Linked DNA regions of Cricetulus griseus. Each later gene encodes a partner of the first gene's protein in a complex. Links are inferred from orthologs where the notes say so. Each region holds a gene or a part of one and is shown in the gene's direction. Other genes may lie near its edges. The genes, in order: Micos13, Chchd3, Chchd6, Apoo and Apool.

Region 1 (3,516 bases):
AGTTCTAGAATAGCCAGGGCTACACGGAAACTCTGCCTTGAAAAAACAAACAATATATGTGTGTGTGTGTGTGTGTGTGTGTGTGTGTGTATGGTTTTCGGGTATAGTGTTTGTTTTTTTGCTCTTTGTTTTATTTATTTATTTATTTATTTATTTATTTTTGGTTTTTCGAGACAGGGTTTCTCTGTGGCTTTGGAGGCTGTCCTGGAACTCGCTCTTGTAGACCAGGCTGGTCTCGAACTCATAGAGATTCTGCTGCCTCTGCCTCCCGAGTGCTGGGATTAAAGGCGTGGCCACCACCACCCGGCAGTGTATAGGTGTTTTGTCTGCATGTGTGTCTGTGTGTCATTAGAGATCGCCTGCCTCTGCCTCCAGAGTACTGGGATTAAAGTCGTGTGCCCCCACCGTCTGGCAACACAGGTCTTTCTTACCTTGGAATTTCTACCTAAGTCTGGAAGACATGGAGCGGAAGTTTCCCAAACTCAAAATGCTGAAATAGCATAGGGAGAAGCGCTGGGTTGTGAAGTCCACAAATCTCCCTCCACCTAACCATTTCCAGTGTGAACCTATGAAACTCCAGGCTCTGATTAAAGCAAGCCATCAAGGTAAGTGGGTGGATGGATGGGTGGATGGATGGATGGATGGATGGGTGGGTGGGTGTGTGGAGGGGTGGGTGGAGGGATGGGTGGAGGGATGGGCGGGGGGTGGGTGGGCAGATGGATGGGTGGGTGTATTCGTGGATGAAAGGGTATGTGGGTAGACAGAATTGGACAGTGGATGGGCCTGTACCTGCAGCAGCACAGTGAATGCAAGACTGTGGCTAGCATTCGGACCCTCTAAGAACTCTCTGCCCCATGATCTCTGGGTTCTCCAGTTAAAGCTGTATAAAAGGGTAAAGCTTGTCAGTTCCCTGTTCCGGTCTCCAGCAACCACTTATCCCTACCTTGCAGCAGAACAGGGATCTATATGATCATCACCTTTGTTACCTCACTTTTTGCTCCCTTTACCTGACCTGGGACCACACACTGCCAACCCGTATCATATGACCCCCAGCTTCCTGGCATATGGGGGGATAGGACTCACTGGCAAAAACCTTAGCCAGATTTCAACCAGCCAGCCTCGGCCTCTGCTTTCCCCTTTAGGTGAAAGACACACCCCGAGACGTGATGAAAGACTATCCTTCCGGAACAATCCCGCCCTCGCGTTGCTGTGGTAACTGCCTCCTAGGCTCGCTAGACCTCAGGCACGCTCAATCCTTCGCGCAGGCGCGAGGATCCCATACGCGTCCTCTGAGGGCTCCTTCCATCGACCCTCCAAACTACATTTTCCAGGAGGCTTCGCGGCCTAGCTCGTCTCTGGTTTGTTCCCCCCCTCCCCGACTACATTTCCCAGAAAGAATTGCGGCACCCACTGTCCTCGGTATACTGAGTCTAACCCTATTGCTGTTCCCGGAGTCCTTTGCGGCTCACGGCGACTACTACCTTTCCCAGGAACCTCGGTAACATCGCCCACCGGAAGCGGCGGGCGAGTCGCGTGTCCTTGCGCGGGGAGTGAAGCGAGGGATCGACTATGGTGGCTCGAGTATGGTCGCTAATGAGGTGCGTGGAGACTCGGGTTGGGCCCTGAACCTTCGAGAAAGTTCCGTGCTATAGGCATATGTGCCTGGCCGCTGGGTGTCCTGCGAAGGCTTACTTCCGGTTGCTTCTGGACCTCTTCTCACGGCCCATGTAGGGAAGGAACCGGGTTTGCTGGCAAGGCTAACTGCATCTCTTCTCTCCTTCCCCCCAGCCAGCCCATGTCACCTACAGCTTAAGTTTTCCCGTATGTGCAGTGGGGACGCGTGGGAAAGCTTGCCCGTCGCCCCTTCATTGAATGACATGAAGGAAGCTCCCCTGGGCTCCTGCTGGCGGCAGGATTTCGAATGACCCACTGTCTCTTACTTTAAGACTCGGCTTACCACAAGTCGTGTCACACAAGGCAAAGGAATGATCCTTGTTCCCTGGGCTCCCAGGGTGTCACCTGGTGAACTGTTCAGGTCCCCGGCTTCAGTCCCTTCCTGTCTCCCCGTAGGTTCCTTATCAAGGGAAGTGTGGCTGGGGGAGCAGTCTACCTTGTTTATGACCAGGAGCTGCTGGGACCCAGTGACAAGAGCGAGGCTGCTCTAAGAAAGGCCGAGGAGGTGGTGCCACCAGCAATGTACCAGTTCAGCCAGTATGTATGCCAGCAGACGGGTTTGGAGATGCCACAGGTAATCTGGCTGGGAGGGAGGATGGGGCTTGGCAGGTCAATTCTGGGTGGCCTTGGTGCCTGTACCACCTGTTGCGTGGAATTTGTATCACTGGGTCTGGGTGATAAGGTGTGACCTATCCCCAACGCACCAGCACCTGTGCTCCTCTTTGTTCCCAGCTCCCAGCCCCTCCAAAGATTAACTTTCCGAACTTCCGTGAATCCTGGAACTCAGGTAGGTCCCTATGCCTCTGCTTGGGGGATGCCTCGGCATCCCAGCCCTGTTTGCCTCACCGTTCCTTTCCATTCCTGTGTGCCTGAATGTCGCCTATTGAGCTAAGTAGAAAGGACTGGGCATGGTGGCCCATGCCTATGACTCCAGCATTTGGGAGGCCGAGGCAGGAAGATTTTTAGTTCCAGGGCTACACAGAGGAACTTCTCTAAAACAACACGAAGGGAAGGGGTGGCCCCACTCACTCCTGCTCCAGTTACCACTCTTGGGCTTCTTTGGGGGTTGGCTGTGAGAATGGTTCTGGCATTTGGGTTCTCACTGGCACCCATGCATTATCCTTGCAGGCATCATCTCTGTCATGGCAGCTTTGTCCGTGGCCCCCAGCAAGGCCCGAGAGTACTCCAAGGAGGGCTGGGATTATGTGAAAGAGCACAGCAAGTAATGGATGCCACCTGCCCCGTGCTACGGGGTGGGCAGGACTCTACCACAGTCGGGACCCACTCTGGGCAGCTTCCAGCATTGCTGGTCCAATAAACAACTTGGGAATGTTTCCCGATCTGTGTTTTGGGGGGTCGTAGCTCTGGCAACCTTTGCTTGTGGAGAAAGTCCTGTCCATTGGGGATCCCTGCTTAGAGCCCAGAAGGGGTTGGTTGTTTCTAGTTTTCTCTTGCTGTGATAAAGCACCATGCCTGAAAGTGGTTCAGGCAGGAGGGGGTTTGTTTCAGCTTGCTCCTCTCAGGCCATACTCCATCACTGAGGGAAGCCAGGAACAAGAGACAGGCCTGAAGCAGAAGCCATGGAGGATCGCTTAGCCTGCTCTCTAAATAGCACCCAGGCCTACTAGCCCAGGGTGGTGCTGTGTTGGACTCATCAATCAAAACATGCCTGTAGGCCAATCTGATGGAGGCATTATCTCAGTTTACTGTCCCTCTTCCCAGATGACTATTAGGTTGACAAAAAATACTGACTAGCACAGCATGTGCACATGTGTTCATGTGTATGTCTACATTGCCCACACTATCCAGAAGGCGTCCCGTTCCCTGGAGCTCGACTTCCGG
Region 2 (3,996 bases), on another chromosome or scaffold:
TGTGGATCCCTCTGACATAAAAGGATGCCATGGTATGTTATATTCTGGGGCTTTTAATGCCAAACAGGACGAATTGAAAAAAAAAAAAAAGTCCATGTTCAGCCAGTTCTGTCCCCTCCCATTTCCCCCCTCTCCTTTCTGCCTCCCCCTTCTCCTTCACTCTCCCTCCCTCACATAGCAGGGCTGTGTGCCTTTCACAAACAATTGACCTATATCTACAGCCCCACCCATCTAACTTCTAAAGAGTATTTATCTGCCCTTGTAAATCTAAGATCACACTGTGCTTTTAGCAAGTGTTCAGCAAAAACAAAACAAAACCCACCAAAATCGAAACGAAATACATGGATAACCTAAAATCTTATATTCTTCATGGAGGTAAAGTACTGAACTAGAAACTTTCCAAAATAGGTCTTCTCAATTTTGTCTAATGCCGTATTAATTCCTCCACGAATTCATGCCAACTTTGGCGATTACTTTTCTCGGCCTAATTGTCAGGTGATGTAACTTATGGATAAGCAGGGGAGACACAGACATGGGAAATAGTGTTCTACCTGCATGGTTGGTGTAAGTAATTTTTTCCTATGTATTTTCGTGTGCATATTTGAAAGCCCTAACATTGAAAGTTTTATTTCACACAGGCGAACATAGGCCATGAGACAGAACATAAGCACATACAGTGTCTGCTCCTGAAATTTTAAGTAGTCTAAAACTCTAGTAATGGCAAAATGTTAAGTTTAGTGCCAGAGATTTGAGAATAGGAATGTAAGAACAGCTTGTTTAGGGGAGCGCATCTCCCACATCTAGCTTTCAGTTGTGTGAAGAACCACTGCTTACTTAACTGACCCAAGTTTCTAGAGTAAATTGCGAATCACGCTGATTGGGTGAACAAACTTCCTTGAACATAGACTGGTTACAAACCTCCCGGGCTGTCAGACTACAACTCCCAGAATGCTCTACTCCCCTTGCAAGCTCTGGAGCAAGAAAAGATGGTTATAACACCTACCACGCCAGGTCAAGACTACAACTCCCACTACACTCAGAGGCTCCGGAAGCCTTGCTAAGCACACACCTGTTGCCATAGCATCCGGGTCCGGGTCCACCAATCCTGGAGCACCTTCCGATAAGAGGCGGGCGGCTTGCTTCTCGGGCCAACCCGGGGCGTCCTGCTCCTGGCACGTGACCGGAGGAGGCGGGCTTTCGGGACCGGCGCCTTCTCCTTGCTTCTCGGGGTCGTGGCCTTGCTCCTGCCGGGGAAGCGTTCCCGGGGCCTTGGCGCGCGCGTCCTGCCGTGCTCGTGGGTCCACGCTCGGACTCTGCGGGGACAGAAGCGGGAGCCATGGGCGGGACCGCCAGCACCCGCCGGGTCACCTTCGAGGCCGACGAGAACGAGAACATCACGGTGGTGAAGGGCATCCGGGTGAGTGCCGTGGGCGGGCGGAGGGCAGCCCCTGAACTCGGACCCCGACGCTGAGACGCGCCCGCGATCGCTGCACCTACCCTCCACGCTCGCTCTCGGCTTGCGCTGCTGTCCCGCTGCAAGCCTGGGTCTCTGGGAAGAAGCCTGTAGCTTCAAGACTCGGAACGTTCATTCAGAGAAAGTTGGTTGCGTGCCAGCCGCCAGGCACTGTGCTGGCACACACAGATGGGGTGCCCGGTCACCACGTCGTCCTTGCTCACTAGTTGCAGGATTTAACTGAAGCTCCTGCCTCACTGTGCCGGCCTGTGTGCCTCCTGTTCAAGACTTGCTTTTCCACATCTCTCTCTCTCTCTCTGGGCGAATTGGTGTTTTAAGGATGACCCTTCTTTGCCTCTGCCATTCAGTGCCCCGCTTCTAGTAGCAACCCTGGCCCCAACACGTGCACACACACACACACACATGCCTTCAAGTCATTCCTGGCCCCGCTGGCTAACTTCTGGCTCCTTCCCTTTCGCCTGATGAATGTCGTTTTCCCAGGCGCCTCCCCTGCGGTTTGTTGGCCCAAGTTTTGAACCAGGCCCAGTTACTACAGGCAGGCCTGCTGTCTGCCAGCCTGATTGGGCAGAGGTCAGTTTGCAGCTCTTCAAGGTTGGTAGAACTGAGAGAGTCCGTTCTGAGGGATATGTTGTAGAGACCTTTTAAGTACCCTCTGCGTGGACTTGCTACACAACCGAAAGCTGTGTTTTCGCTAGGATGTCAGGGTACCCGCCCTAACTTCGTTAACATTCTGCACCTGACTTTGGAGCGTCATGGTTTGGGAAGCACACCTGTACCTAGTAAATAAAGCACTGTGGCTCCAGAAGGTTTTAGAGTACCTTATATTTTCTGTTTTTACACAACTGCTATTAGTCGGTTAAATATGTAACATCCTTCTTTTGCTTTTGTTACTGGGAAATAAAACATGTCAAGTGTTTAAAAACTTCTTCCTTTGAAATTTGTTAGTTTGAAAAGAGCTTATTAAAGTTTTCCTGATAGAAACTTGAAACTGTTTGAACTGAGTTTTTGGTCCGTGATCAGCAATTCTCACTACTTTTTGTAGTAAGATAAGACTTACTACAAGCATGAGTTTTATACAGAGATGGAAGAAAAAAGTAAGTTGTCGCTAGGCTATGAATGTTCCATACTAGAGAGTGAAAACTTAAGAACAAAGAGAAAGCTTAAGGTGAGAAGATTTGGTTGGAAAAATGCATAGGTCCATGTCCTCATGTTTCAGTGCAGACACGGTGCAGACACAAAACAAATTGAAAGAGAATTTGGCCACAGCACAGTGATGGATAAATTATCAGATGTTGAGTGATAGGCATGGCAGTAGGGAGTAGGTATTAGACTCAAGTGGTGAGATTGTTTTTAAAGAAATTTTGTGAGTTGTTTTTTTTTTTCCCCCCCAATCTCTTCTGCCACACAACTTGAAGTAAGCTTCCTTTCTCCCTGTTGATACAGTCCTGGCCAGGCAGCCTTATTTCACAGGCATTGTATGCCACTCCCCTGTGAATGGCCTGGGCCAGGTTTCTTTACTTCCTGTCTTTTTCAAGGATGCCCTGTCATTTCCTGAGCTCTGTTCAGTTTTCTTCTCTTCAGACTGGTGGAGCCGAGTACACCTTCCCAATCTCTATCTTTTCCAGCTCTGAAGTCATATGAGTTTCTTGCCACTGTCAGTTTTTTGAGAAGAAATGTAGCCTATTCCAGTTTCTTCCAAAACTGGTAAGCTGTTGAACTGTGAGGATGTGGAGGTCATTTTGGCTTCCTTGAGGTCATCAGGAGAAAGCCAACTTGGAATTAAGCTGACATGTTTGGTCTGTGGCACTGGACAAGTTACTTCTCTGTTGACACATCCTTATCCATAAGTCCAAATGTTATCACTTCCTTTGGATAGATGGGAGTTTAAGGTATGTAAAACTCCCAGTGAATTGTAGACTTTTAGTTTATTATTATTATTATTATTATTATTATTATTACTGTTTTGCAGTGCTGGGAATTGAATTAGGTCCTCACATGTGCTAGACAAGCCCTCTACCATTGAGCTCTATTCCAAGCTGCTTTGTATATTAATAAATAAAAAGTGGCCATTATTATGGTATGGTTCCTTTCACAAAGTGCTCTGGAATCAAACAAACCTGGGTTCAGATCTTTGCTCTGTAGGATTTAGTATAACTTACCAAATGGACAAGTCACTTTTGACTGCATTTCCCTGTCTGGTGTTTGTTTGGCATATGTGTCTAGTGCTTTGTCAGTGTTTACACTTGGAGTTTCTCAGGAGAGCTGGAGGTTAAACCTGTGAGACCACAACATAACTAAACAGGAGAGTATGCTGTGCCCTCAGGAGAGTGAGGATCCTGTGGGAGTCTTGTAACTCTCTTTTAGCTGCTCTTGATGTTTTGCTTGGCTTCAACCGGTCCTCTTGTTTGCTTTCCAGGCATGAGAGTAGTATTCTCAGCCTGTAAGCAAGGCTTTGACTTCAGGCAGTTGTTAAAACATGGACAGATGAGGCCCAAACTCCAGTTTTGGATTTCACAGGTTAA
Region 3 (4,017 bases), on another chromosome or scaffold:
TGTTCTTTCTGTGCCAACAAAACAGGTATAATTTATAACGAGGCCATTCATCTTTTGATGTATTAAAATTTTATTTCCCCTAGATAAAAAATGCTAAGACCCTATTAATGATTTGATAGGGACACATAAGACAAGAGGGGAATGATGAACCAGCCTGCCTCTATCTTAGGCTTGAAAGCCATCTTAAAATAAAGATAAACTAGGTTATTTCCTGTTTATGATTTAATCTGTTTGTTAAGGACTGGGCTATGTCCCACCTGTAATGGGATATTAAGTAACTACAAGTGGTTAACTACTGCCTGTGCCAGGAAATAGCAACCATGCTTTTTTGTCAAAAGATTATTATGACCACCTGTTGTTATGATCACCTTGTTATGACTGACTACCTTATTAGGACCACCTTGCAACCATTGTCTTCGTTTCATGAGAGGTTGTTATGACAACTCCTTTTATATCCCCAACTATTTGCCTGCCCAACTCTGCATTTGGAATCTCCCTCCTCCTGAGCTATAAAATCCTTATCTTGCCTATGTCCAAGTCTGACCTATTGAACCCCGCCTTAGGGAGAGCAGTCTGTGTACACAAAAAAGTTTGCTTTAATTAATTGCTTGCTTTAATTAATTTGGCCATGTTGATTTGGGTTGGGGGGGGTCTTTCTCCTCAAATCTTTGGGATTAACAGTTGGTGCCTAGGATAGTTTTTCCCTGGCCTTCTCATGATGAACTACACTCACCTTTAGGTCTCAAAGCTCTATAAGGTTACCATCATTTATTAATTTGTCTCACGGTATTACGGTGCAGTTTCCCAAGTACTACACTAAATTCACTACTTGTGTTTGTTTCCTTCATGACTGAAACCTAAGGAGGCAGGTCTCCGGGGGTAGGAGTGGAATTGGGGTTGGTGTGTGTGTGTGTGTGTGTGTGTGTGTGTGTGTGTGTGTGTGTGTGTGTGGTGGTGGGGAGTTGTTGCTCAGCCCTTGCAGTTGCTTCAGCATCCTTGCTAGTTTATTTTCAGAACACGACCTTTGCTTTGCTTCCTGGATAACATTTATAAGAAACCTTGACCTTGCCTCAGTGTCTGTTACACCCTCTATCCAATTTTTCAGCCTACAAGCACCCTGGCCTCTGAGAACCACGCCCCCCCTCCAGTGGCGCCAGAATGCTAGACTACAACTCCCACAAGGCAACGCGCGCCAGCAGCAGCAGCCAATAGAACGCGGTGTTGCTGGCCTGTGTCCCGAGTGGAGAGTCTAGGGTGCGGAGCGGCGTCGTCCTGGTTGCTGTGGAGCCGGCTCGCGTGGCCGCACGCCCTGTCTGCCTACTGTCATGGGCAGCGCCGAGAGCGCCGAGGCCCGAAGGGTGTCTTTCGAGATGGATGAGGAGGAGCGGGTCCGGGTGCTGCAGGGCATCCGGGTGAGAGGCGCGGCGGGAGGGCGCGGGCCCGAGGAGTTTGCGGGCGGGAGCGGGAGCCGCCGTTCAGGGACCAGATAGATGGGGGAGGCCACTGGCACTGTGGGCAGCCGGCCGCCTCTAGTCGGTTTCCACGCCATGGCTCTGCTCCCCCGTTTCCGGATTTGTTCCGCTCTCTACCGCATCTCGCCTGGTGTGTGCGACTGGTTGCGTGTGCTGTAGCACTTCTTGAAAGTGTTCCCCCATTTCCAGTCTTGATAACGTGCCTTCGTGAGGCCCCAAAAGGGGGAGTTTTAGCTACCGTATAATTCATCCACCCTTCTCCTAAAACCTTAATGGTGGGTCTCTACCATGTTGAAGAGGAGGAAACGCCTCACTTGCTTTTACAAGCTGCCCTGGTGCCCCACCAACCCCTTCATCCCTTTCCAGGCCTGTTCCTCACCTTCATAATACACTTATTTTGCTTCAGGACCTCCTTGTTCTCCCCAGAAGATCCCATCTTTTTGATGTTTCTTCAGTTACCATTAATCTGGCAATCATCGTGTTACAGCTCAGATGTCATCCAAAAATCCTTCCTTGACCACAGAGTCTCAAGCAGCTTCCTACAGCACTGTCACACGTTTATAATTTTCACAGCACTCAGCACAGTTTGAAACAAATTGTGTTTATTGGGTTTCCCATTACAGTTCTGGCTGCTTCCTTGGCTGAAGTTCTTTATCCCCAGAACTTAGAAGAATAAAAGCTCCTGTTTTAGTGCAGAGTGGCAGCCCTTTACAGATACTAATTTTCAATAGACCTATGAGAAGTAAAATTGTTAGTGTCCCCTCCTTTGTTTTGTTTTGAGACAGGGTCTCACTGTTTAGCTCAGGCTGGCTCAGAACTCCCAGATCTGCCTGCCTGTGTCCTGAGTACTAGGATTAAGTCACACACCACTAAGTTTGGTCTCTTAGTCCATTTTGTCACTTACGAGAACTGAGGTGCTATTGGCATAACTTGTCCAGGGTCACTTAGGTAGAAAAGCAGGAGGCCTAAGACTAAAGTAGTTTATTCTGTGCAGTACTTGCTTCTACACCTATGTGTGACACATAGTGGGTACCTGGTGTATAATTGTTAAGTGCTTACATGAATGAACTCAGTGAAATAAATCAAATTTAAACAAAATGTTCTGAGTTGAGTCTAGGTGAATTAGAAGGTTCAGAAAAAGACTTCCAAGGGTATAACATCTAAGCTCATTAGTTGTGTGACCTTACATGAATGAGTTGTTTATTGAATTTCACTTGCCCCACTTGAGATTAAGAGGGGAAGGTTATCCTGGGTACTACCAAGGAAACTGTGTAGAAGACATGCAGAATGTTTTGTAGAGGCCTCTCAGAATATCCAGCTTCTTAGGTGCTGCCCAGGTGGTGTTGTTGACTTGGCTTGTGGCAAGGATTAAATGGGGGAAGATGGCTTCTGCTGAAGGCTGAGAGGTAAGAAATTGAGGTAGAATTTAGGAAGATAGCCTTGGCTCAGGATATTTTTCACCTTTGTTACTGGGTTTCTTGTTTTGGGGGTGATGCAGGCCTGAGTCTTCACAGGTTTAGAGAAGTACCATTGGAGGTGACCCTGACTTTTTGTTTCTGGTTCTCATAATAATCCTGTAGAGTATAAAGTCTTTACAATTATTTTCTCTGCTTTTCAAAAATATTCTCTCTCTCTCTCTCTCTCTCTCTCTCTCTCTCTCTCTCTCTCTCTCTGTGTGTGTGTGTGTGTGTGTGTGTGTACCTGCACGTGCTTGCTTGTCTGTATTTGTCTGTATGTGTACCACATTCGTGCACATGCCCAGGGTGGCCAAAAGAAGGGTCAAAGCTCCTGAAATTGGAGATGTAGGTTATTGTGAGCTGCTGCCTCTGGGTGCTGGGAACCAAACTCAAGTCCTCTTGAAGAGCAATAAGCATTTTTAATCACAGAGCCTTCCTTCTACAGCCTAGTTTCTCCACACTCTAGTATAAAGATGGAATATCAAGCTTGGTTCCTAAGGCACCATTTGAGTATCATTTGGGACTAATCTAGATCTATCAGACTCCCTCCAGCCTGATAATACATGTTTAGCAGTCTGAAATTTTTACTTTGCTTCTGCCTGGCCTGTCAGGAATGTTAGTACTTACTTACTTTTATAGGCAATGAAACTGGGGGAACTTCAGTAGTTTTTAGCTTCCTTTTTTAGTTAATCTGAGAGACTAAATGGCTTTTCCAGGGTCAGTCAGTGAGGTGCTTGGCCCCTTGTTGGGAAAGCCATGTCTAGTGTGCCTGGGTTTAAAGAGGAAGAAAAAACATTAAGGTAAAGAAGTGTTTGGTGGAGGGCCTGTTGTTATTAGTAGTTACTTGAGGGTTGAGGAGTTCACTCGGTCTTCAGATAAGTAAAAATAAATAATACATATTTTAACAATTAGATCAATAAAGCAGTTACTCTAGTGAACACATGAGAAGTCAATAAGAGGTAGACTCCAAAAGAGAATATCTGCCCTAGGTGTTTCAGGAAAAAAAAAAATTCTTAGAGACCACTTGTATTTAATCCCCGGGGCCTGATTTCAGTGCTCTTGCTTCCTTAAAATCAAGTGTTAGGGCC
Region 4 (4,125 bases), on another chromosome or scaffold:
AGTTCTGTTGAGAAGGAAAGAGCTGCCCTTAACATTTGGGAGTTGGTCTGGCTGAACCTTACCGTTTTCCCTTCCCTGAAGGTTGCTAACACCTACAAGTTCTGCTTAAAAAGAAAAAACCTTAACCACAAGTCACTAAGCCAAAGGTTAAATACTATGACAAACTTAACATTTTTTTACTGAAATGCTCCAGTTTGCCCTAGATGGGCATTTTTGTTGCTTTTTCTCGCAGCAAACTAAAAAAACCCCACACACCTAATTTAAGGACAGGTGTGTTTCTAGGATAAGAGGACAGTGACCTTTTACCGAACAAATCTCCAGATCTTCAGGATGCCTATGTGGCTTCCATCTTCTGTTGAATTAGGACAAGAAATACAGGACGAAATACGAAATACACCGTCTCTACGGGACGCGCTAGCGTTTGCCCAAGCTAGCGCAGAGATTTCAAAGGCAGACTACCTTGAATTGGATCCTAGCTTTAGATTTTCCGCAGTTTTGGACACTAGGCAATGAGAACCATGCCCATCCACTTGTGTCGGAGCAATAAAATTACGCATTTAAACCAGTGTTAAAGCTTGCTTTTTTTCTGGCGAATAGTTAAATACTGTCATTTTACTTCTACAATTAATAAATGGGACAAATATTTGATTCTCAGATTTACGCTTTAGTACTTTTCTTAAAAAAAAGGACAGTTTTCGCGACTAAATGACGCGGTGCATTTACTATTACATAAAATTTAAGCAACATTCAGCATACGGTAAATTCTTTAAGGAAAAAACCTTTTGTGAGGTAAACCGAAGCCCCACGATCGATCGCGGCTTCTCCCTAAGAGGCTGGTGCGGCCACCCCAGGACCGTCGGGCGCCACCGCCTGGCTACCTCGGCTTACAGGATTCCCATCCGCACAGCTAGGCGCCCAGTGGTGGAGGCGAAGCCGGTTCTCCGCGCAGCAGGGTGCCAAGGAGCCTCCCCCTTCTTACCACAACTTGCCGCCCACACGGAGCTGCCGCCTTTTGCCGCCTAGCAACAGCCGGCGAGGAAACAGGGCCAACAAGAAGGCGGGGCTTGGGTTCATCAGGCTCCCGCGCGCGGGCCCCTCTCCGTTGCTAAGCAACGCAATGCGCCACCTAGCGGTTGCCTTGAGCTTTTGGCGGGTTGAGTTGGGCGGGGGAGCATCACCATCTCGTGCACCACAACCTGCTCGCGGTCAAGGGAATTAGGATCTAAGCCGGCCACCGTAGTCGCTTTTCTCAGTGGGCGGGGCCAAGGGAGGGGTGACCCTGCCGGAGCCACGGCTGCCAGCGACATGTTCAAGGTGAGAGCTTGGAGCCGGGTCACAGTTGTCATCGCCCCCTCTCAGATGCCGGGGTCCCTTCCCACACTCCCGTGGGCCTTCTTTGAGGATCAGACTCGGGTGTCCCCAAGGCTTTGCCCACCTCCGGGCTGGCTAAGTCCTGTCACAGCGATTCATTCACTGCTTGGTACCAGCACCTGTGAGACTGAGGCATGGAACCCTAGATGGGTGGGATCGGCCCTCGAGTAGTTCTCAGGGGAATGAAACACTTTGAAAACTTAAGACGCAGCTATAGTACCCATTTCCTCGGCTAATGCCCTTTTGGGGTAGTAGGTAGGATGAGGCCAGGTCCCGGCACTGCAGCGTTCGTGGCTTTGGTTGCTTGGCAGGATCAGGTTTCCGAACCGCACTTGTGGGTGGGGGGAGGGTCAGCTTCGGAGGATGTCGGGGAGGTTGGTGAGGGAGAGGCTGCTTTGAGGAAAGCTGGAACTTCCTCTCTGGTGAGCGTTAGTGTGGAAAAGTCGACTCTTATCCTTATCCCCTCCCTTACGGGTTTTTTCATTTGAACTCCTGTCCTCCGTAAGATAGACATTTACAGTGAAGACTTCGAAAAACCTAAATTTTATCATAAAGTTATTCTTTCTTTTTTTATTTTTTTTTTCGAGACAGGGTTTCTCTGTGGCTTTGGAGGTTGTCCTGGAACTAGCTCTTGTAGACCAGGCTGGTTCTCGAACTCACAGAGATCCGCCTGCCTCTGCCTCCCGAGTGCTGGGATTAAAGGCATGCGCCACCAACGCCCGGCCAAAGTTATTCTTTCTTAAAAGTCAGTTATATTTTGTCATTCAAAAAATTACAGGCTGCACATGCCTTTAACCCCAGCACTTAGGAGGTGGAGGCAGGTGAGTTCGGGCCAGCCTGGTTTACATAGCGATTTCCAGGCCTACATAAAGAGACCCTTTCCAAAACAAAACAAAACAAACCCCCCAAAACCCCACACGCATCCAGAAATCTATAAAATCAACTCTCCAAGAAACATAATATTTACAGAATAGTGCTAATAAAATCTCAAAATTCTGCTACCCATTTAAGAGTTTCCTGCAGCTGCAGTGTTTGGGGTGCATTAATAACGGCTGCCAAATCAGATCATGGTTTCTGCCTTCCATTGCTGCCGGTTTCTAGCTATGTGATAATGGGCATGTCACTTAACTGCTCTGTGACTTTTTTTCTATTGGTGAAATTAGGGTAACAAAAATCTCAATTGTAAAATACTGAGGAGAATTATCTCACTAAACCCAGAGGAAGGATGGACACTGAACTCATTGATTTGTTGGCTCATTGTCATCAAAGACCTGGCTCTTCTGGGTTTACTATGGTATTGTTGGTTTTCCTTACAGTTACAAGATGAGTGGCAGTAACATTACTTTGCCATTCACTAGGAGAAGAGGAGAGGATAAAACTCCCATGCTTGGATTATGTTTTTCCTTCAGGTCTGATTGAACCAACGTGGGTCAGGTGTCTGTTCCTAGCCCAATAGCAGTTATCAGGGGAATATTGGGCTCTGATTAGCTTCAGTCAAACAGATTCACTTTGCTTACCATATGGAAAAGGAATGGTTTCATGAGCACAGTGGGGTTCTTTAGGAAGGAAGAGGTATAATGGAAACTGAATCTGCAACCAGCAATGCTCATGTCAGGTATATTCATATAAGTCTGTGAACATGTTCATTGACTTGGACTCTTTGAAAAATCTTTCACAATCTTCATACATGTAAGTTTATTGATAGAAATGAAAGATTAGCACAGATTGATGACTCAGACAAGTTTTTTTTTTAACGGGGGGGGGGGGGAGAAAGAGAGAAGGAAAAGGATGTGATTGTAGAACAGTGGTTCTCAACTGACTGATACCACCCCTTTGGGTATGTTTTGGAAATTGCAGGGGGGTTCTTTGTGTCTTTAGATGTGTTAAACATTTTCTTTTTTTTCCGGGACAGGGTTTCTCTGTGGCTTTGAAGGCTGTCCTGGAACTAGCTCTTGTAGACCAGGCTGGTCTCGAACTTACAGAGATCTGCCTACCTCTGCCTCCCGAGTGCTGGGATTAAAGGCATGCGCCACCAACGCCCGGCTGAACATTTTTTTTTAGTTTTAATTCTTCTGTGTATTAGTGTTTTGCCTGCATGTATGTCTGGTGTCCACAGAGGCCAGAAGAGGGCATATAATCCCTTGGAACTGGAGTTACAGATGGTTGTCAGATGTCCTTTGGGTTCTGGGAATGGAACCTGGGTCCACTTCTCTCAGTGCTGGGCCCCCATCTGGTACAGACCCATGCAGGCCCTGTGCAAGATGCTACAGTCTCTGTGAGTTCATATGTGTGTCCGTTATGCTGTGTTTAGAAAGCCTTGTTTCCTTGGTGTCCTTTGTCCTCTTTGGCTGTAACAATATTTCCTCCTCCTCTTCCACAGGGTTCCCTGAGCCCTGAGGGGAGGGATTTGAGGGAGATGTCCCATTTAAGACTGAGTGTTCCAAGGTCTGTCACTCTCTGAATATTGTCCCATTTTATGGTGTATGTGCTTGGCTGAGGAGCCAATGGGGCAAAGCTACCATCTGTGGGATTATGACTGACCGCTTCTAAGTCAGAATCCTGACTGCTGGAATGATATGGCAGCGCCAAAGGAGCCTCGGTTGGTCCCAGATAGCCGGCTCCCCATCCCTGCTGGGAGCTGGACCAGGGACTGGTGCGGAGAGCCATTTGTCCTGGGAAATGGGGTATGACTGGAAAGGGGGCCACCCTCTCGCCCATCAAGCTGAACGCACGTTCGTGTGTTCTCATCTGTTG
Region 5 (3,985 bases), on another chromosome or scaffold:
GTGAACTTTGGCATCTGAGCTGACAAAGCAGCTGCAGGAGGACGGAGAAAGGGCAGGAGCCGACCGGCTACCAGCATAAAGGGGAGGGGCTGTGGTGATGACGTAAGTCAAGCCGAACTGCTTTGTCCCTCTGCGCTCTCCGTCGGAAAAACGAACCGAGAGGGTCATAGGTATGGCGGCTTTTAGGGTAAGTCAAAAGAAACTTAGTTTTCCACTCCCCACTCGCTTTGAGCTCACAGCATTCCAGTAATTGTAGAAAGAACCATCTATCGTAACTCCGGGAGGTGCGACTGTGAGGATCGGAACCTTTAAGACTTGCAGTCTCGACACACTTGCCTTGCCGCCTCCATAATCCCCTGCCGTTAACTGTTTACAGCACGGCGGGCGTTAGTCCGGTAACCTGCTAGGTGATGAAAAGGCAGGGGCAACTAGCCGCTCCCACAAAGAGAAAAACAATCTTTGGCATTTGTCTTAGTGCTCAGGGCAGGGCTCCATGACCCGGACGTAGGACTTCCTTCAATAATTGCTCGGGGCCAAAACAGAGACCAGACGTCCCAGAATCTCTACTGGACGTGGGATTTTGCATAATGTTGTTGCTCCCAGTCGAACAACAGGTTTCTTTGGAGTATTATGAGAAAAGGTGCTTTTCTGTAGGAATGTGGGTAGAGGAAGCGAACTAGCTGACTCTTAGGTTTCAACATCAGTTTACACATACTTATGCACTGTAGTTTTTAAGTGTCTAATGACCCTGTGAGGCTTGGGGGAGCTAAGAGTGTCAGTAATTCATTCACCCGATGTTGGTTTTAGGTGTTCTTCATTTCTCATTCTTACTGCATTTCTGCAGTTTGGGACCTCATACTTTCCCTTGAATTATGGGCCGCTCAGCTATCTGGACTCTACTCCCTTTATTCCTCTGATGGAATCCATTTTCTCCTGTACTACTATAGTACTTACACAGAAATGAGAGCCTGCACCTCTACTAGCCTTTATAGCACTCCATTATCTGCTCTCAGGGGTCTGCTTACACTTCTAGATAACAACCCTTCTCCTAGCCTCTGCTCCCCAGCTTCCTCTCCTGTCACCTAGGAATCTGTACTTCTTACTTTATCTCTCCATGCCCCCTTTTACCTGCTCTTTCTGCAATTCTTAAAGTGCCCTTGCCCATTCTTATTTAGTTTCTACCAGGCATGGCCAACTGACCTTTTGATAATGCAACCAACTTGTCATCTACCAAGTTCATTCTGGAGAATCACAATCAAGGTATAAATAAACACAAAAATCTCCAAAACATTATCCCCACATTTGTAATGTTTAAATAAGTTTATGATTTTGTGTTGGGCAGGATGTGGTCTTTTGACCATAGGTAGGACAGACTTTCTCACTTTGCTAAGGGAATGTCCCTGACCAGCTGGAATGATCCACACGAGATAGTTATTGACAACCATATTCATAAGTTAAAAATTCTATGTCTTTTTTTGTTTGTTTGTGGGTTTGTGACTCTGAAATGTTTCTTGGTGCCCAAGTTCAGGGATACATAGTTTTTAAGGCAAAACTCACAAAGACACATGAGGGTCAGAGTAACCTTGAAACATTTCTGGCAGAGTATAGTAGTTATTTCAGACATAACTTTCCAGTTATTTTGGTTAATACATCTGGACTATGGTCAAGGCTATGGAAATTTCACATGTGTTGCTAAGGCAGACATGACCATTGCAGGGAGGGTATAAAGGGCTGAGAGCTATCTAAGCAAACAGAAAATGAAATCAGAATATGATGGCATTACCTTGGTAATTTCATTCCCCCATTTAAAAAATTATTTTGAAATTTTTTATCTTGCAAAGGGGTGAACACTGGTTCTTGAAGATCATTACCCTAACAGAGGTATTTATTATATAAGGCCCCATGGCAAGTCTTATAAAAAGGTTGAGTAGGGGACCATCCAGGCCAGTGAAAAGTTGTGAACCATGGGTTTTAATCAGACATGTTATAGGACCAGAAATTACTTCATTTTTGTTTTTGATTTAAGTTATTTTTAACTTTCTGTAAATTATTTTTTTGGGGGGGGTGTTTTGAGACCGGGTTTCTCTATGGCTTTTGAGGTTGTCCTGGAACTAGCTCTTGTAGACCAGGCTGGTCTCGAACTCACAGAGATCCGCTTGCCTCTGCCACCCTAGTGCTGGGATTAAAGGCATGTGCCACCACCGCCTGGTGTAAAGATTTTTTTTAATGATAACTTTTGATTTGTTAGCACAGAAGCAACAAGTCTCTCATGGTGTCACACAGTCTTCCCTGGGACATGAAAATTAAGTTTAAGCCTTGCCTCTTTTGGAGGCCTGTTTCTGTCAGAGACTATCTGGCATGGAGTGTAACTGAAGGTGTCTAATGTCTATCTATTTGATAAATTATCTGTTGTAGGCTCCTTTTTCCCCTTATTAGAGCTGTAGTGTTCAAGGCAGTAGTCTCTGTCACTCCCATTTCTACCATCAATGGAACAAGGAAACGTGCAGCCTCCTGTACTGCCGGGGGGGAACATTTTTCCAGTAGTGCTCACAGCCAATGTAAGGACTCTGGCAGGTGCTGTTAGCAAGGTGGAAGTTATGGATGGTCTAGTCAGTTTCTCCAAATAATTGTTTAGATCACATAAGGAAATTGACATAGGGTTAAAGTGTATTTCAGATTCCCAATTCTGGGCCACCCACATGGCCCCGGTGTCACTTCTGGTTTTGGTCCAGGGTTAGTTCTCAAAGCACCCCCAACCCATCTTATTGACTGACCTCTGTAAGGCTTATTAAACATAAAAAACTGCTCTTTTTGTATGCCATGATCTCCATGGCAGTTTCATTGGTTGTTTGGAGATGGAGTATTTTGTGATTTGAGGCCCAAATCCAGGTTATGAATCGCCTCTGCAGTGGCTCCTGCAAACTATTGGTTGTGTCCACCAGGGGCAGCAGCAATCAGGCAAATAGCCAGTGAAGGTTGCACCAACCAGGCTCCAACGTCCAAGTCACTGGAGGAACAGAGTGACTGTGGGCTGCACTAGCCAAAAGAGGTCTGCTTTCTATGGTTATCCCTGAAGCCCCAGTGGTCTGGTGCCCCTCAGCAGTGCTCTGTGGTAATCTGTGGTAGCCTGTGCTATGCAGCAGTTAGGTGGTGTTGCAGCAAATGGTGCTATTCTAGTGCTGTGCTGTAAAAGCATAATAGAAGGCTTTTCTAGCAGTGACATTTGGCTAGACATGAATCCTTTGTTCTTTTCCTTTTGCTTGAGGAAGTCCCTCAGATAAAACCCCTTGTCAGCTTTATAGTTGTCAGTCATCCTCTCTCTTACATTGTCCTTCAAACAGGACGCTAGAAATTTGAATGCAGATGTTTCAGCAGAGAATTCCCTGCCAAGTGTAAACTAGTTAGCATGCATTAACAAAAACTGTCCCAACATGTGTGGTAGTGCACATCTGTAATCCCGTCAGGAGGCAGAGGGGGGTGGATCTCTGAGTTTGAGGTCGGTGTGGTCTGTAGAGTGAGTTCCCCTATATATAGAAAAAGGAAAAGGAAAGCTGTCCTTCCAATGTCCCCATCCCTGCTGTGTCTTAGGAAACAGAATCTCCACCTTCCTCTCCTCCTCATCTTCCTCTCTCCCCCTCCCCCCTTCTTTTTAGTAACCCAATGAAGTAAGCAGGGTGTAGGTGTGGAATCCTCCACTGGAGAATGGTCTCCATATTTGGGGTTAGGCCACTGAGGAAAACTGACTCTCTCTGCTCCTGCTGTCATACACTGTCCATGGATCCTCTTTAGGGCAGAGTAGACCCTCCCATTCCAATCCTTGCTGGAACTTTGACTGTCTTGATGTAGGGTGGGCGAACTGAGGTTTTGAATTCATGGTTGCTCCAGCATGCATACAGAAGATGTTTCCCAGTGATTTTCTTCTGATTCTCACAAACTTCGCATCTTTCATGGTATTTTTGAGCCTTAGGGGACAACAAATGTGATG

What was found.
Region 2: Micos13 (region 1) and Chchd3 share a complex: the UniProt entries of both Homo sapiens proteins name them as parts of the mitochondrial contact site and cristae organizing system (MICOS) complex. The link is inferred for Cricetulus griseus from reciprocal best matches to the Homo sapiens genes MICOS13 and CHCHD3.
Region 3: Micos13 (region 1) and Chchd6 share a complex: the UniProt entries of both Homo sapiens proteins name them as parts of the mitochondrial contact site and cristae organizing system (MICOS) complex. The link is inferred for Cricetulus griseus from reciprocal best matches to the Homo sapiens genes MICOS13 and CHCHD6.
Region 4: Micos13 (region 1) and Apoo share a complex: the UniProt entries of both Homo sapiens proteins name them as parts of the mitochondrial contact site and cristae organizing system (MICOS) complex. The link is inferred for Cricetulus griseus from reciprocal best matches to the Homo sapiens genes MICOS13 and APOO.
Region 5: Micos13 (region 1) and Apool share a complex: the UniProt entries of both Homo sapiens proteins name them as parts of the mitochondrial contact site and cristae organizing system (MICOS) complex. The link is inferred for Cricetulus griseus from reciprocal best matches to the Homo sapiens genes MICOS13 and APOOL.

Annotation. Positions count from the first base shown.
Region 1 is NC_048598.1:96,937,052-96,940,567, forward strand, and holds Micos13 (MICOS complex subunit MIC13), read left to right. Parts: upstream 1-1,416; 5' UTR 1,417-1,569; coding exon 1,570-1,598; intron 1,599-2,070; coding exon 2,071-2,248; intron 2,249-2,406; coding exon 2,407-2,461; intron 2,462-2,802; coding exon 2,803-2,900; 3' UTR 2,901-3,008; downstream 3,009-3,516. UniProt on the Homo sapiens protein: Component of the MICOS complex, a large protein complex of the mitochondrial inner membrane that plays crucial roles in the maintenance of crista junctions, inner membrane architecture, and formation of contact sites to the outer membrane.
Region 2 is NW_023276806.1:194,875,397-194,879,392, forward strand, and holds the start of Chchd3 (MICOS complex subunit MIC19), read left to right. Parts: upstream 1-1,195; 5' UTR 1,196-1,336; coding exon 1,337-1,417; intron 1,418-3,996. UniProt on the Homo sapiens protein: Component of the MICOS complex, a large protein complex of the mitochondrial inner membrane that plays crucial roles in the maintenance of crista junctions, inner membrane architecture, and formation of contact sites to the outer membrane.
Region 3 is NC_048601.1:53,698,637-53,702,653, forward strand, and holds the start of Chchd6 (MICOS complex subunit MIC25), read left to right. Parts: upstream 1-1,215; 5' UTR 1,216-1,325; coding exon 1,326-1,412; intron 1,413-4,017. UniProt on the Homo sapiens protein: Component of the MICOS complex, a large protein complex of the mitochondrial inner membrane that plays crucial roles in the maintenance of crista junctions, inner membrane architecture, and formation of contact sites to the outer membrane.
Region 4 is NC_048604.1:75,618,004-75,622,128, reverse strand, and holds the start of Apoo (MICOS complex subunit MIC26), read left to right. Parts: upstream 1-1,320; 5' UTR 1,321-1,359; coding exon 1,360-1,503; intron 1,504-4,125. UniProt on the Homo sapiens protein: Component of the MICOS complex, a large protein complex of the mitochondrial inner membrane that plays crucial roles in the maintenance of crista junctions, inner membrane architecture, and formation of contact sites to the outer membrane.
Region 5 is NC_048604.1:59,659,103-59,663,087, reverse strand, and holds the start of Apool (MICOS complex subunit MIC27), read left to right. Parts: upstream 1-1,185; 5' UTR 1,186-1,209; coding exon 1,210-1,260; intron 1,261-3,985. UniProt on the Homo sapiens protein: Component of the MICOS complex, a large protein complex of the mitochondrial inner membrane that plays crucial roles in the maintenance of crista junctions, inner membrane architecture, and formation of contact sites to the outer membrane.